Linked DNA regions of Elephas maximus indicus. The protein of the gene in region 2 interacts with the protein of the main gene of each other region in a pairwise test. Links are inferred from orthologs where the notes say so. Each region holds a gene or a part of one and is shown on either strand. Other genes may lie near its edges.

Region 1 (7,828 bases), on a different chromosome or scaffold from region 2:
CTGCTTGCGGTCCCCTCGGGTGGTGGCAGGGTTGGGGTACGGGGCTGGGCGAGAGGGCTGAGGTGGGGGAGGATGGGGCTGCTGTGGTGGGGGCAGGGGTGCCAACCCCACAGCATCCCCCTGCCCAGTCTCGCTGCGGCAGTAGATGGCCAGCAAGTCGAGGGTATCCAGGGCAGGGGGCTGGGGGAGGTCTAAGGTGGGGAGGGGGAGAGGAGGAACTTGTGGGGGTGGCGGAGGAGGGGAGGGTGGTGGGAGGAGTGGGGCATCAAGAAAGAAGTCTTCCATCTGCTCCAGCTCCTTCTTGAGGAGGGAGGCCATGGCTTCCAGATCAGGTGGGGGCGGGGAAGGTGGGGGAAGGGCACCAGGGGGAAAGGGAGGCTCCAGAGGAAGGAGGGCTGTGAAGTCAACCCGCTCAGTCATCCAGTCAGAGAAGCCGTCTCCTAGGGAATTGGAGAAGGGACATAAAGTTCCATCTGAGTTCCTGGTCCTCCATCCAATTGGGTACTCATTCATCCCATTCATTCAGTAAAACAACCAACCAATCAACAAATCATCAAACCAGTCAACAAGCCAACAAGTCAGTCAAGCAACCAATGAACAATCAGCCAACAATTTGACCAATCAACCAACCAACCAGTAAATCAATCAATGAGCCAGTAAACCAAGCCATCAACCAATCAGTGAAGCAGTCAACCAGTCAACCAAACCACCTGTAGACCAGCCAGACAACCATCCCACAAACCAGTCAACCAACCAATGAATCAGTCAGTCAGCCAACTAATCAATCAACCAGTCAAACAGCCAAAAAACCAGTCAGCCAACAAAAGAACCAATCTGCCAACCAGTCACCCAACCATCCATCAACCAACCTTTTCTTCAACCAATCCAACATCCTCTTTACTTTTTTCTACGGTTCCTCTAATCTACTCTCTAGTTTGTCCTTAAAACACCAACTAGATGACATCACACACACATACACACACACCGTGCTTCAACTTTAATTCATTAATTACTGAAAACCTACAATGTGTCAAGCATTTGGGATATAGTAATGACTAAAACAATTCCTGTCTCAGGGTCTCTGCATATGCTGTTCCTTCACCTGAAATGCTCTTCCCTTGGGCCTTTTGATAGCTCGTTCCTTCCCATTCTTCAGGCCACAGCTTAATGTTACCTTCTTGGACAAGGTATCCTGGCTACCCACTCTAAAACTAGGTCCCCTTTGATATTTTCTAGCTCAGTCACTAAGTGCTTCCTACTTAGTCCCAATACATCTTCGTTTTACTTGACTGTTGTCTGTCTCCCCACAAGAATGTGAGTTCTGGGAAGGCAGGAATCATGTCAGTCTTGTTCCTGGCTCTATCCTCAGCAGCTAAAACAGTGCCTGACGCATTGTATTTACAGAATCAATGAATAAATTAATTCTTCCTTCTCCCTCTCCCCCACTTCCCCCCAGCTCATCCACCTCCATTCTCCACCTGCCCTTACCTGCCAGGGGCTCTCCCCCCCCTGGAAGCCCGCCCTCCAGGGCTCCCCCAAGGACCTCATAGGGGCCCAGGGGGGCAGGGGCCAGGGGGAGTTTCCCATAGTCTACGAGCCAGCCCAGCCCGCTAGCTGGGAGCAGGGTCCTGTCCAGCTCCAGCCCCAGGGTCGCCAGGAGTGACATGGCTGCAAAAGAGGCGCTGGGCACGGATGGCAACGAAGGAGGCAGCACCAACAGCTGGGAGGTTGCTCAGATGGACTAAGGCAGGCACCAAGGCGAAACCGGAGGACCTACACGTTGGAGACAAAGGGAGCAGAGTCAGCAGCCAGACCGCCACCAGCCAAAGGCACCGGGAAGCCATACCCCCATTGCTAACAGGTTCCCCCCTCTCGGAATTCTAAACCCTGAGCCCCCCACACTCCCAAGGGAATTCTCCTTAGGCCTCTCCCATCCACCCCTTGACACTCTTCTTCATTAAAAAACCTGAATCCCAGGGGAATTTTCTTCTAGCCACGCCCCTTCCCCAAAAATGTTTCCTTTAGGCTCCGCCCCATCCCTAGATTCCATCTCAAATCAGTTCCCAGGGGAATTCCCCCATGTTTTGTTCCTTCATCAATGCTATGTGCTTAGACTCCACTCTTCGCTTAAATTTAGTAGTGAACCCCCACTCCCCGCCTGCCCCCGTGCCCTCCAAGCTCCACTCCTCCTGAGTCCCTATAGGCCCCGCCTTTCTCCAGACGAAACCCCTCCTCGCCTGGCCCCGCCCTTTCCCACAACGTGTTGGCCCGCCCCTCACGAAACCTGTGTTCCTCGCCCTAAGCCCCGCCTTCTTCCCTGTCAATCTAAACTAGGCCCCGCCCCAGCAGATGCCTGCTGAAAGCGAGTGAAGCTACGCTGTGCGCCACCGCAGTGTGGAGAAAGGAGGGCGGGGGAAAGGTTGTGGAAAATGTCTTCCACCCCCACCCTTCCACAAGTCGCCGTCTCCCCGAGGGCTAAAGCGCATGATCTGTCATCCAGGTGGTGTAAATTGTGTTCTCATGCATTCCCCCCCTCCCCGCCCTCTTGGGGGTCAGTGCGCATATGCGGCGGCGTACGCCCCGACCTTTCCGCACAATTACGGGCTCTGGTGGGCTGGTGCGCATGACCAACAGCGTACGGCTAGACTCGTTTCCGGGGGAGGGGGAGGGAACTCTGTGGGAGCTAGTGCGCGGCAGTAACCGCACGCGTTCCCTTAGCGTAAACAATCAGGAAGAACCCTGCCCCCCCACCTCGGACCGAGTGCGCATGCTCCGATGGGCGCCGACAGGCGCCCCCCCGCTTCTGCGCCTGCGCAACCAAGATTCCCCAATCACTTCTCCCTACCCAACCCCCGGTCAGGCCTTGAGGGCCGCGCGCAGCGAAAGGGCGGGAAAGGCGGTTGGAGAGGGAGGGGCGAGCGGTTACTCACTCCATGGCGGCAGAAAGGGGAGGCAGCGGAGGCCTCGGCTGAAGAAAGAAGGCAAGAGCGGATAGCGCAGGTGCGGTGAGCGCGGAGACGGGCCGGGGGGCACGGAGGGGTCGCGGCTACAGGGCCATGGCCAGGGCTACGCGGGCGGTGGCGGCGTCGCGCTAGTGTGAGGAAACCGTGATCTGAGGACGGGGAATGAGGCGGCCCCGGGGACTGGGGACAGATATACCGCAGGTGGCGCAGCACAGTCCGTCCGGATCCTTCCGCGCTCCGCCCCTGTGCGGCCCTAACCGGGAGGCGGGCCCGGAGCCCTCCTCCCTTTCACCCGGGGTTCGGACCCCCTCTTCCATCTCATCTGAGGATCGGATCCCCTCCTCCCTCTCACCCGGGCGTCCGGCGCCCTCCTGCTTCTGACCCGGGGGTAAGACCCCTCCCTCCCTCAGAACCGGGGGTCTAGTCTCCTCCTCTCTGTGATCTGGTGATCAGACTCGCTCGTGTTTCTGGGGATCGGGCCCTCTCCTGTCTGACTCTGGAGCCCGACCCCGGCCTCTCCTCCCTCAGACTCGCACGTGGTCATTTCTCTGTTCCCTTCCCCCCTTCATGAAAGAATTTCCTGCCAACCACACCCAAATCTCTCCGTCCATTCATCCCTCAGCTGCTGCCCGGGCCTGAAAAGCCTTGTAGGTTTGAGATCTTGCTTGAGTCAGAGTCAGATGGCCTTCGTTCAAGTCACAGAGCGGCCAGGGTGGCCTTGGGCAAATAACTGAAGTTTTCAGTGCCTCATGTGTCCATGTGGTAGGGTTGTTTGTCAGAGTTAAATAAGGTGATGTCTTCGAAACCCTAAGCACAGAACCGGGCTCATACTTGCCTGGTAAACGGTGCCTTGTTATTAAAAGGAACTCTGGTGCCCAGTCTCACCCCTTCTGGCAGAACCCCAGGCACTGGACCACCCAACACCTGTTAAGAGGTCATTTTTGTGTGTCTCAGTCCTCCCTGGTGTTCATTTCCAGCCATCCCCTCCCTCCCCTTCCCAAGTGGTAGATGCTCAGCCACTTCCAGGTGGAGGGATTCAGGCCTCATGGCCCCCTCTCCAGCTTTTTCTCTTTTCAACAGCCCCTGCCCACCTTCTTCAGCCCTCGTCAGCTAGTTCTTTCTCCTGCCCCTGCCCTTCTCCCGATGGTTTTACAGTTTTTTGTCTCAGCTGCCACTCAGCATCAGGGAACTGTCTTCCAGCCGGGGTCACTATAAGTCCGAATCCACTTGACGACATCGGGTTTCCTTTGGTTTTTACCCTTCCGTTCATTAAAAGAGAGGGCGCATCACCCCCAGCTGGCCCAGGTGGAGATGGCTCTTTGCTGTGCTGCAGAAGGTCCCTCTCTTTTCCACTCGTCGTTCATCCACATGGAGTTCAGTCTCATCCCTTTTGGGGCAGCTACAAAACAATCAAAACCCGGGGAAGGTGGGTTTTGAGGCTAGCTGGGCTAGCCTATCTTGAGATCTGACCACCTTCCGTTAGAGCCAGATTTGAGCACTAGCCCTGTAGTTCCTGGGATTCATAGGGGCTACGCTATTACTTAGGCAGTATAGGGCAGCACTTTAAGAGCTCAGACCCTGGAGCCAGATTGTCTGGGTTCAAACCCAGACTAGCCGTGTGGCCCTAATTTCCCCATGCCTTGACTTCCCTTGCGGTGGAACGTGGCCAATAATAGCATGTGCCTCTTAGGGCAATGAGGATTAAATGAATTAATCTCTGCCTGTCCTTTATAGTAGTGCTTGGCACATAGTGGCTGCTGCTCAGGGTTGTTACTATTACTGTTCTTGCTGTTAATACTGAGATGCATATGTTCTGTTTCCATTGCCAGCAGTGGATCCTTTCAGACCATAATGGCCTTAGAGCTTTGGTGTGAGGCTTAAGGATGGACTCCCCTCCATGTCTCAGTGTAGATATTTGAACAGTAGCAGGTGGCAGGGATTAGGGTTGACTGTCGGGCAGGCTGTTAGCCTGGGGAGGCCCTGTCCAGACTACCAGAAAAGGGAAGCCCCAACTCCAGCTGAAAACCTGCTGCTGGCAAGATTGAGCCCTGGCCCAGCCCTTTGGCACCTTCCCTGTTGAGGTCTATTTTCTCACTCTATCCCCCACCTACAGTCTTCTTCTGAGAAGGCCCTCTGGGTTATATATATGGAAACTAGGTAAATAAACTATTTTAGTAAAAGTTTAGATTTACCGAAAAGTTACAGAGAAAGTGTAGCGTTTCTGTGTACCCTACATTCAGTTTTCCCCGCTGTTAACAACTTACAAGAGGAAGGTACAGTTGTCACAGTGCTGGAACCAGCATTGACACATTACAACAAACTAAACGCCACACTTACCTGATTTCATTCCTTGTCCCTGCATGGCCTTGTTCTGTCCCAGGATCCCCTCCAAGGCACCACATCACACGTGGCTGCCTCTGGGCTGTAGCCACTGCTCAGACATTCCTTGGCTTTGATGATCTGGTCAGATTTGAAGAGGGCTGGTTGGCTGTTTTCTGGAATGCACTTCACTTTGGGTTTGTCTTGTGGTTAGACTGGGACTATGGATTTTTGAAAGACCCCTGGTAGCACAATGGTTGAGTGCTCAGCTGCTAACGAAAAGATTGGCAGTTCCAACCCACCAGCCATTCTGTTGGAGGAAAGACCCAGCAATCTACTCCTGTAAAGATTACAGCCTAGGAAACCCTATGGGACAGTTCTACTCTGTCCTGTAGGGTTGCTATGAGTCAGAATCAATTCTGTGGCACACAACAACATGGGTTTTTGAGAGGGCCCCCAGGTAGGGTATTTTTTAAATAACTGGTAATGGGAATCCTGTTACTAGTTTGTGGGGCACCTGCTGACTGGGAAGGAATTGGGGCAGGGACCATGGTGGCCGACATCCCAGCCTCCCATGCCGTTTTCTCTCTCTGGGCCTTATGTCCTTGTCTGGTAGAGTTGTTGGATTCCGCCCGATTCAGCCCTAGTGCCGAGTGGGTGCCAATTCACACGCTTAGCTCCCAACCCTTCTGGCATGTTTTAGTTTACACACTGCGGGTCATCTGTGGCTGCCTACAACTCCATACCCTGAGCCCTCAGTTTGGGTTTGTCTTGTAGTTAGACTGGGCCCCTGGCACCCTGAACCTTTTCCTGGGCCCACCCTAGACCTGGGCCCCTGGCCCCTCCAGGACTCAGATATCCCCACCTCCCCCAGCCTCAAAGAGGCCTTCAGGGCCAGGCCCCCAGCCCCTTCAGGCCCTGAGCTCAGGGCTAGGAGCACAGTAGGGTTGCTGGGGACTCTTTTTCGGTGCGGAGGGGCCAGGCTCAGGGAGTGAGGCGGCTGTTGCAGGCAGGTTGCATCATCCCTGGCTCTTTAATGGGGAGGGGATTCTCTGGGGGCCCTGGTGCACCTGGCAACAGCTCCTGGTGAGTGGAGCCCTGGATCAGGGAGAGGCTCCAGCACAGCTGGGGTGGACAGGAGCAAGGGAGGGAAATTGGACACCAGTGCAGGACCCTGAGAATCAAGACTCAATGCCAAGGAGTGGCTGTAGGTCCCTGAAGCCAACCAGCTGCCCTGGCAGGGGCAGGACGGGCCCAAAGAAGCAAAAGATTTGCTTAGAATTACACTGCTAGCTAGAGCCCCAGCTTCCGCAGCACCACTTCCAGGCCTCACACACCCTGGTCTCTCAGTTCTATGGGGGTCCCCAACCCACACTCCAGGGCAGAGCCTGCTGGGGGTCACCACTCAGACCCTCACCTCAGGTTTGCTCATATTCACGGTTTGCAAATTCTGTCGAGTCCAGCCATTCCCGCTGCCCTCGAGGAGGCCCTCCTCACCCACTTCCCAGTCAGGGTACAGCTGGTGTGACGGAAAAGGCCCCCAAGGTTTGCATCAGGCGACGCAGGTTCTGATCCTGCGGCCACACCGCTTACTCCTAGCCACAGATTCGGGAAGGTCCTTAATCTGCTTGAGCCTCAGCTGCTTCTACAGTACAGGTCAGAGCCTGCCAGGTTCAGATCCCAACTGCACCACTCTGGTTCCATGACCCTCAGCAAGTGACATCGTCTCTCTGTGACTCAGTTTCCTCAACCCATAAAATGGGGAAAATGGGGATGAGAGGACCCACCTCATAGTGTCATTGTGAGGATTAAATGGGCTAACGCATGTTAACTTTCTAGAATAGGGCCTAGCAGGTGGGAGGTGCCCTGTGAGCATTCGTTATTTCTAAGGCTGGGGCGCTGGGAAGATTCTGGGAAATGATGTTGGTAAAGCTGGGAGGTGCTTAATAGGAGCTCAAAAACTGTACATGTTTATTGCCCTCCCCTGTACCTTCCACATGTGGTTCTATTCTCCTCACAACCTTGGAGACAGATGTCTTTGGACATAAGTGTGTCCCCGAGCACTAAATTGTTCCCCCAGTCCCATGTGCACACCCATGCATTTCTACGTGAATTCCTCATGGACAGAGGCTGGGAAATCCAATACTGTGGTCTCTGAGAGGCGCCAGGTCCAGTGTCAGGGTCACACAGGCCAGGAGGCAGGGTTGGAGGTGGGCATTGGGCAAACAAGGCAAAAAGGCCAAGGCCAGCTTGGCTGGGGAAAGGGCAGCCCTGGACACGAGCCTGCCACGTGTCAGAGCACAGAGTCCTCACAGCCCCTTCCCTCCCCTTGCTGCTCCTGCCTCGTCCCTGGATCCCCAGCGCTGAAGCAGTTGCAGCTCAGCCTGTTAGGCCCCACGCTGTACTGTACCAGCTCTGACAGCCCCTGTGGTCACCTTCTGAATGAGTTTCCTCTTGCCATGGTAACAAATTGCCACCAACCTCGTGGCTTAAACAACCCACATTTACTCTTGTACAGTTCTGGAGGTCAGGTGTCTAAAATGGGT
Region 2 (7,330 bases):
GGCTCTTTGTTTCACTCAGAACAACTATCCAAGTCCTCACACTGCTCACAAGACCCTATTGTCATCTGCACCCCTCCCCATCTCCCACTCCTCTCTCACTCACTCTGCTCTGGCCATACTGGCCTCCTTGCTGTTTCTGGAACATACCGGGCATACATGTTCCCTTTGTCATCTGCTGTACCATCTGCCTGGAATGTTCTTCCCCCAGATATCCACATGGCCCACTCCCTCATTTCTTTCAGGTTTTAACTTAAAAGTTGCATTCCTCCTATAGTCTTTTCTGGCCACCCTGTCTACATTTTTAATGCTCCTGCTCCCCCAACCCCGCATTTGCTATGTCCTTTTATTTTTCTGCTTACCATGAATAATTAACACACTATATACTTTACTTACATATTCTGTTTATCGTTCGTCCCTCCCACCACCACCACCACCACCACAACAGAAGCTCCTGGAGGGTAAGGGTTTTTTCCTTCTGCCATATCACCAGAATGGTGCCTGGTTCATAGAAGGTGTTCAACAAATCTTTTTTGAATGAATCAATGGATGACTGGAACAAGAAAAAAAACTCAGCACAAGTCACATGATAAATGGCCATTCTGGTACGGTACGGGGGTCAGTGGGAGACGTGGGGGGCTGGGCACACTGGACAGTAGATGCTCCAGTCAAAGCCAGGAGGGGCTGCTCGCTCAGCCTGTGGCTGTCCTAAGTGTTGCCCTCTATTCCCCTTGTTTCCCAGAGAAAATATTTCTTAAAATATAACATCTCCATTACTTCAGTTAAAACAAACAAGCTCTGCACAAGCCACACACAATGTTCCATGGGCTGGATCTGACCTGTGGGGAGTATTTTGCAATCTCTAGCTCGTAAGTCGCTTATGAAAAGAAACCTCAGGTACTGGCTTCTAAACCTGCCAACTCTCTCCTCATAAAATTAGAACACACAACCTATATATTTACATGTTTACTTTTTCTCCCTTTTTCTGGTTGGATTCTGAATAAGTGAGGCTTTCCTGTTCTCTTATTCTGTCTGAGACTCCTGGTCCACAGCTAAAGGTGAGGTAAGTATCTGGGCCTCAGGTGTAGTAGATGGGTAACCTTCTTGAGCAAAACACCTGGCAAAAGAGAAATCCTCTTTGGGCTCTTAGCTGGGAAGCAAGGATCTCTCACTCTAGGGATGAAAAAGCCCTGGCATCGTTTCAGCACAGTGGCTAAATAAGTGAGCTCTGGAGTTGGGTTGATGCCCAGCTCTCCCATTTGCCAGCTGTGTGTTCTTGAGCCAGTGACTCAAGTTCTCTGTGTCCCAGGCTGCTCATCTGCAAAATAGGGATAGTAACAGCACCTACTTCACAGAGTGGTTGCGAGGATTAATATGGCAAAAGCACCCACAATAGCACTAAACCAAAAACCAAATCCACTGCCGCCGAGTCGATTCCAACTCATGCCAACCACGTGTGTTACAGAGTAGAACTGAACTACACAGGGTTTTCCTGGCTATAATCTTTACTGAAGCAGACTGCCAGGCCTTTCTTCTGTGGCACCAATGGATGGGTTCCAACCATCAACCTTTCCGTTAGTAGTCACATGCAAACCGTTTGTGCCATCCAGGGACCTACAATAGCACTAGGCCCATAACAATGCTCAGAAAAGGGAGCGGTGACCATTAATAGTTCATATGTATCAGGTGCTGTCCTTGCCCTGGGCTTCGGAGCAGAGACCCAAAGCCTCCCTGTTAAGAGCTGCCAGTCTAAAGTGGATGACTATGATGAGCCTGAACACGGAGAAATCCTGTAATTGTCACTAAGACATTAAGTTTTACTCACATGAAAAGATGCTCAACATTATTAGTCATTAAAAAAAAAAGTGTAAATCAAAACCACAATGAGATACCATTTCACACCCACTAGGATAACTATAATAAAAAAGACAGACAATAACAAATGTCACTGATGCTGGGAATATAAAATGGTACATCCCCTTTGGAAAACAGTCTGGCAGTTCCTCAAACAATGGAACTTAGAGTTAACATAAGACCCAGCAATTAAACTCTTAGGAAATTATCTAAGAGAAATAAAAACATATAGCCAGCCAAAAACTTGCACATGAATATTCATTAACAGCATTATGCATAACAGTCACAAAGTAGAAACAACCCCAGTGTCCATCAACTGATAAATGGATAAACACAATGTGGTATATCCATAGAGTAGAGTAAAAACCCAAACCCAGTGTAGAGTAGTACTGGGCAAAAAAAGGAATGAAGTAATGAAAAAAAAAGACACCAAATTTTTTGCCTGGGACTTCCCAGCACCCACCAGGGTTAGGGGAGCTGGTTTTTATGGGATGGAAACGATGGCTACACTGGGAGTGGTGGGAGTTGGTGGTCCTGGTCACCTGAAGTCCAGGAGGCAGCCCATGATGGAAGAAGTGGGACTGTAGGAACTCAGAGAGTAACTGGGGCATAGGGAGCAAGAGGCAGAAAGGGAGCATCCCGAAAAGCTTAGACAGTGGGGTCTGGAGTGGTGTGCCCCAACTATGGTACAACTCCCCATGGTAGTACACCAGAGAATTTCAAGTAGTAACAGTAATAAGTTACACTTGCTTAGTGCTTTCTCTGAGCCAGACATTGAGAACTTTACCACATTTACTTATTTAAGCCTCACAAAAACTCTATGAGGTATAGGTGCTATTTTACCCTCATATTACAGATGAGAAAAGAGAGACATGAACAGATTAGGTATCTCATCAAAAGCCATAGTTAGTAAATGGCTCTGTCTGAGTTTGGGCTGCCCCAACATAGACCCTGATACAAGGACTCCAGTGAAGTAGTTTACTTGGGAGGTAATTCCAGAAAGCACTGGAAGGGGAGTGAAGATATGAGACAGGAAGGGAAGGAAAGCCAGTAGAGAGTGCGTCATTAAGTAAGTTACCATGTGGGCAACTGGAGCTCAATCCTGCTGCGGAACTCTGGGAGACAATGAAGAACACATGTCTTGGAGTGCATTATTTAAAAAAAAAAAAATATATATATATATATATATATAATTTAGACTACCCATACCCATTGCTGTAGAGTCAATTCCAACTCATAGCAACCCTACGGGACAGAGTAGAACTGCCCCATAGGGTTTCCAAGACAGTTAATCCTTAGGGAAGCAGGCTGCCACATCTTTCTCCCACAGAGCAGTCAATGGATTTGAACTGCCAACCTTTTGGTTATCAGCTGAGCACTTAACCACTGTGCCACCAGAGCCACTTATAATTCAGGTTAAAGGGGAAAAAGTGACATGATCGCAACAACAGATACAGGAAAAGCATTTGATAAAACTCAACATCTGTGGATAAGAAAAACTCTTCACTAAGTACGGAGAGAAGGGAACTTCTTTAATATAAGACATCTACTAAAATCCTAAGGCAAATATCTTAGTGATGATACATGGAAAGTAAACCAGGCAAAGATCCGAACATGACAGGCCAGTGAACAGAACTTTCAGGACATTGGCAAAGGCTGGGAAAGACCAAGAGGTGCTGGTTCCTCCCTGACCAACCTGGCCAGTCCTTTCCTGGGACTAGCAAGGCTATCATCTTCCCATCCCACCCCTTTCTAGGCTTGTACATTTTTATGAATCGTTCCATCTTTCTTTAGAGTTCTCAGATTTTAAACCCTGGTGCCATCTTGGATTTCTCCCTTCTCTGGTTCCCTGTATCTAATCAGTTTCCTGGCCCCAAAAAATGACTCCCTGAAACTTACTTAGATCCCATCTTTCCTATTCCTCCATATGGCTCTTAGCAAATGTCTCAAAATTTGCCATCAAAGTAAACCCTTTACAACAGGGAAGGGGGAATGAATCTCTCTGAGAAATTCGGTAGCATAATCTAAAATTACCCTCTGCAAACCTGAAATTTATTTGAAGTCTAATATTCTGCCTTAGAAACTTATACAGGTTTCAGGCTCTTATCCATAATATAGCCACCATTATTTTAATGTAAAAATAATGGTTTAAATAACTTACAGCTAAAGGGAAACTGAATTCCACAAACCATGTTTATTGTATACACTGGCAGAAGGAATTTTAGGGGTTTTCAAACCCTAGTTTGAAAGGCCAGCCTACATTACTATTGCAAAAGCCTCCCAGAGAGCCGCCCAGTCTTCACCCTTTTTCCAGATCAATCTAGATCAATGGCCCAGAGCCATCAGATTAATCTCTCTCAGACACTCCTTTCATCTCCAGTCCAAGGACCTGCTTATCGGGTCAAATTTAAAAGTCAACCAGCTTGGCTTTCAAAGTTCTCCATCAAGAGGCCCCAGACAGCCTATTCAATTTTATCTCAGTTCCAGCAGTCCAGCCTACCTCAGGGTCTTATCACCCACCACTGGCATCCTGCTCCTTTCTCTAAATCCAGCCTCTTCCCTCAAGGCCTAGCTCATGACCCACCTCTTCCATGAAACTTCCAGCATTATAGGATTAAAGGGTCCAGGAAACTTAGAGCCAGGAGGATCAGTGAAACCCAGAGAGGGGAGATCAAACTAAAGCTGTTACCCTTGAGTCAATTCTGACTCATAGTGACCCTCCAGGGCAAAGCAGAACTGCCTCATAGGGTTTTCAAGAAGCAGCTGGTGGATTCGAACTGCCAACCTTTTGGTTAGCAGCCGAGGTCTTAACCACTGCCCCATCAGGAAGAAGGGAGGTAGCTGAACCTAAAATACATGGCCAGTTAGTGGTTGTTTTAAACCATTCTCATTGTTTCCCGTGAATAAAGCCAGTTTTCCCCAAAAGACTGAAAACTCCTGGGGGTAGGTACCACATCCTTCATTTCCAGGTTTGGTTAACCTGCTCAAGGACAATTTAGTATACTGCATAAAGATATGTGCCTTAGTTCCTGCCTGCCTACTCAGGCAATCCCCACTTAGAAGGTTTTTCACCATCTTTTGTCAGCCATTCACACTTGTGAAATCAATTTAAGATCCAATTCCTCCACTTTCAGGTTATTTAATTTTTCATTTTCAAATTGTCATTAGTGTTGTTACAACACTGGACAAAAAAATACATTTTCAGCAGCCCAGACAGATGACTCATCCCATTTTTTTTACATTCCTTCCAGAAGAGCTGGGTCATCCATTCTCTCCTTCAATCAGTTATTCCACAGATCTTCACTGAGACCCTATCAGATGCAAGATACACCTCAGGCCAGGAACAATACAAAGACCTAAATAAGATCATCCTTTTCTTTTAAAGAGAATACAATCTCCTTGAGGTTATAAGATGGGCTTTGCTTTCCTTCTCAATAATTTACCTATAGTTAATTCTTTGCCTCAAGTATGTGGGTTTTTGGGTTTTGACTCATCATGTGGCCAGATATTTCTCTGAAATCGGGAATTGAATCTTCTAGTTTTCTAGTATCTATAGGGAGGCTATGTTCCAGTTAGTACCTGTTGACCTGGTATAATTATTAACAGTATATCCTTTCACCCTCAAAAGTGTCCCAGTTTGGAATAACAAGTATTGGTGAGGATGTAGAGAAATTTGAACCTTCAGACATTGCTAGTGGGAATGTAAAATGGTGCAGCCACTTTGGAATACAGTTTGGCAGTTACTCAAAATGTTAATACAGCCCAAGAGACAGAAAGGGCCACATAAGCCTGAGACTACATTAGCCTGAGACCAGAAGAACTAGATGGTGCCCGGCTACAACCGATGACTGCCCCGACAGGGAACACAACAGAGAACCCCTGAGGGAGCAGGAGAGCAGTGGGATGCACAGACCTCAAATTCTTGTAAAAAGACCAGACTTAATGGTCTGACTGAGACTAAAGGGACCCTGGAGGTCATGGTCCCCAGACCTTCTGTTAGCCCAAGACAGGAACCATTCCCAAAGCCAACTCTTCAGACAGGGATTGGACTGGACTATGGGATAGAAAATGATACTGGTGAAGAGTGAGCTTCTTGGATCAAGTAGACACGAGATTATGTGGGCAGCTCCTGTCTGGAGGAGAGATGAGAGAGCAGAGGGGGTCAGAAGCTGGCCAAATGGACATGAAAAGAGAGAGTGGACAGAAGGAGTGTGTTGTCTCATTAGGGTGAGAGCAACTAGGTGTATACTGCAAGGTGTATATAAATTTTTGTATGACTGACTTGATTTGTAAACCTTCACTTAAAGCACGATAAAAAAATTTTTTTTAATGTTAAATACAGTTACCCTATAATCTAGCAATCTCAATCCTAGGTATATATCCAAGTGAAATGAAAACAAATTCATAGAAAAATGTATACATAAATGCTCATAGCGGCATTATTTATAATAGCCAAAAAGTAGAAACAATCCAAACATCCATCAACAGATGAATGATGAACAAATTGTGGTGTACTCATACCCATGGGATATCATTCTGCCATACAAATAAATGAAGTATTAATACCTGCTACCCAAAACCTCATTGCCATCGACTCATAGCGACCCTATATGACAGAGTAGAACTGCCCCACAGGATTTCCAAGGAGCAGCTGGTGGATTTGAACTGCCGACCTTTTGGTTAACAGCCGAATTCTTGGTTAAGAGCTCAACTGCTAACCAAAAGTCTGGCATTTCTAATCCACCAGCCGCTATGGTGCAGTTCTACTCTGTCCTATGCGATCACTATGAGTCGGATTCAACTCAATAGCAACAGGACCTATGCTGTAACGTGCATTAACCTTGAAAACATTATGCTAAGTGAAAGAATCCAGGCAAAAAGGCCACATATTGTATGATTATATTAAATGTCCAGAATAAGCAAATCTATACAGACAGAATGGAGGGAAAGTAGATTAGCGGTTGCCTTAGGAAGGAGCCCTGGTGGTGCAATGCTTAATTACTTGGCTACTGACCAAAAGGTCTCCTGTTTGAACTTGCCAGCCACTTCACAGGGAGGTCTGCTTCCATAAAGATTTCAACCTAGGAAACCCTATGGGGCAGTTCGACTCTGTCCTATAGGGTCACTATGAGTCATAATTGACTCCACAGTACACAACAACAGGCCTGGAAGGGGAATGGCAGGATAAGTGGTAACGGAGAGTGACTGCTAATAGGTAGTGGGTTTCTTAGATGGTGGTGATAGCTGTACAACTCTGTAAACATACTAAAAACTGTTGAATTATGCACTTTATTATTTTTTTTATTGTGCTTTAGGTGAAAGTTTACTGCTTAAATTAATTTCTCATTCAAAAACTTATACACATATTGTTTCGTGACACTGGTTGCAATCCCCACAACACAACAGCACCTTCCCCCTTTCCACCCTCAGTTCCCTGTGTCCATTTGTCCAGTTCCTGTCCCTTCCTGCCTTCTCATCC

Evidence for each region. The genes of interacting proteins can lie anywhere in the genome.
Region 1: the proteins of CCND3 (region 2) and ATF5 interact in a two-hybrid assay, tested with the Homo sapiens proteins (2 studies listed by BioGRID and IntAct). The link is inferred for Elephas maximus indicus from reciprocal best matches to the Homo sapiens genes CCND3 and ATF5.

What each region holds. Positions count from the first base shown.
Region 1 is NC_064829.1:100,369,401-100,377,228, reverse strand, and holds the start of ATF5 (cyclic AMP-dependent transcription factor ATF-5), read right to left. Parts: upstream 3,021-7,828; 5' UTR 2,931-3,020; exon of another isoform or gene 2,912-2,930; intron 1,774-2,911; 5' UTR 1,667-1,773; coding exon 1,489-1,666; intron 441-1,488; coding exon 1-440.
Region 2 is NC_064819.1:106,379,228-106,386,557, forward strand, and holds the start of CCND3 (G1/S-specific cyclin-D3), read right to left. Parts: upstream 3,018-7,330; 5' UTR 1-3,017. UniProt on the Homo sapiens protein: Regulatory component of the cyclin D3-CDK4 (DC) complex that phosphorylates and inhibits members of the retinoblastoma (RB) protein family including RB1 and regulates the cell-cycle during G(1)/S transition.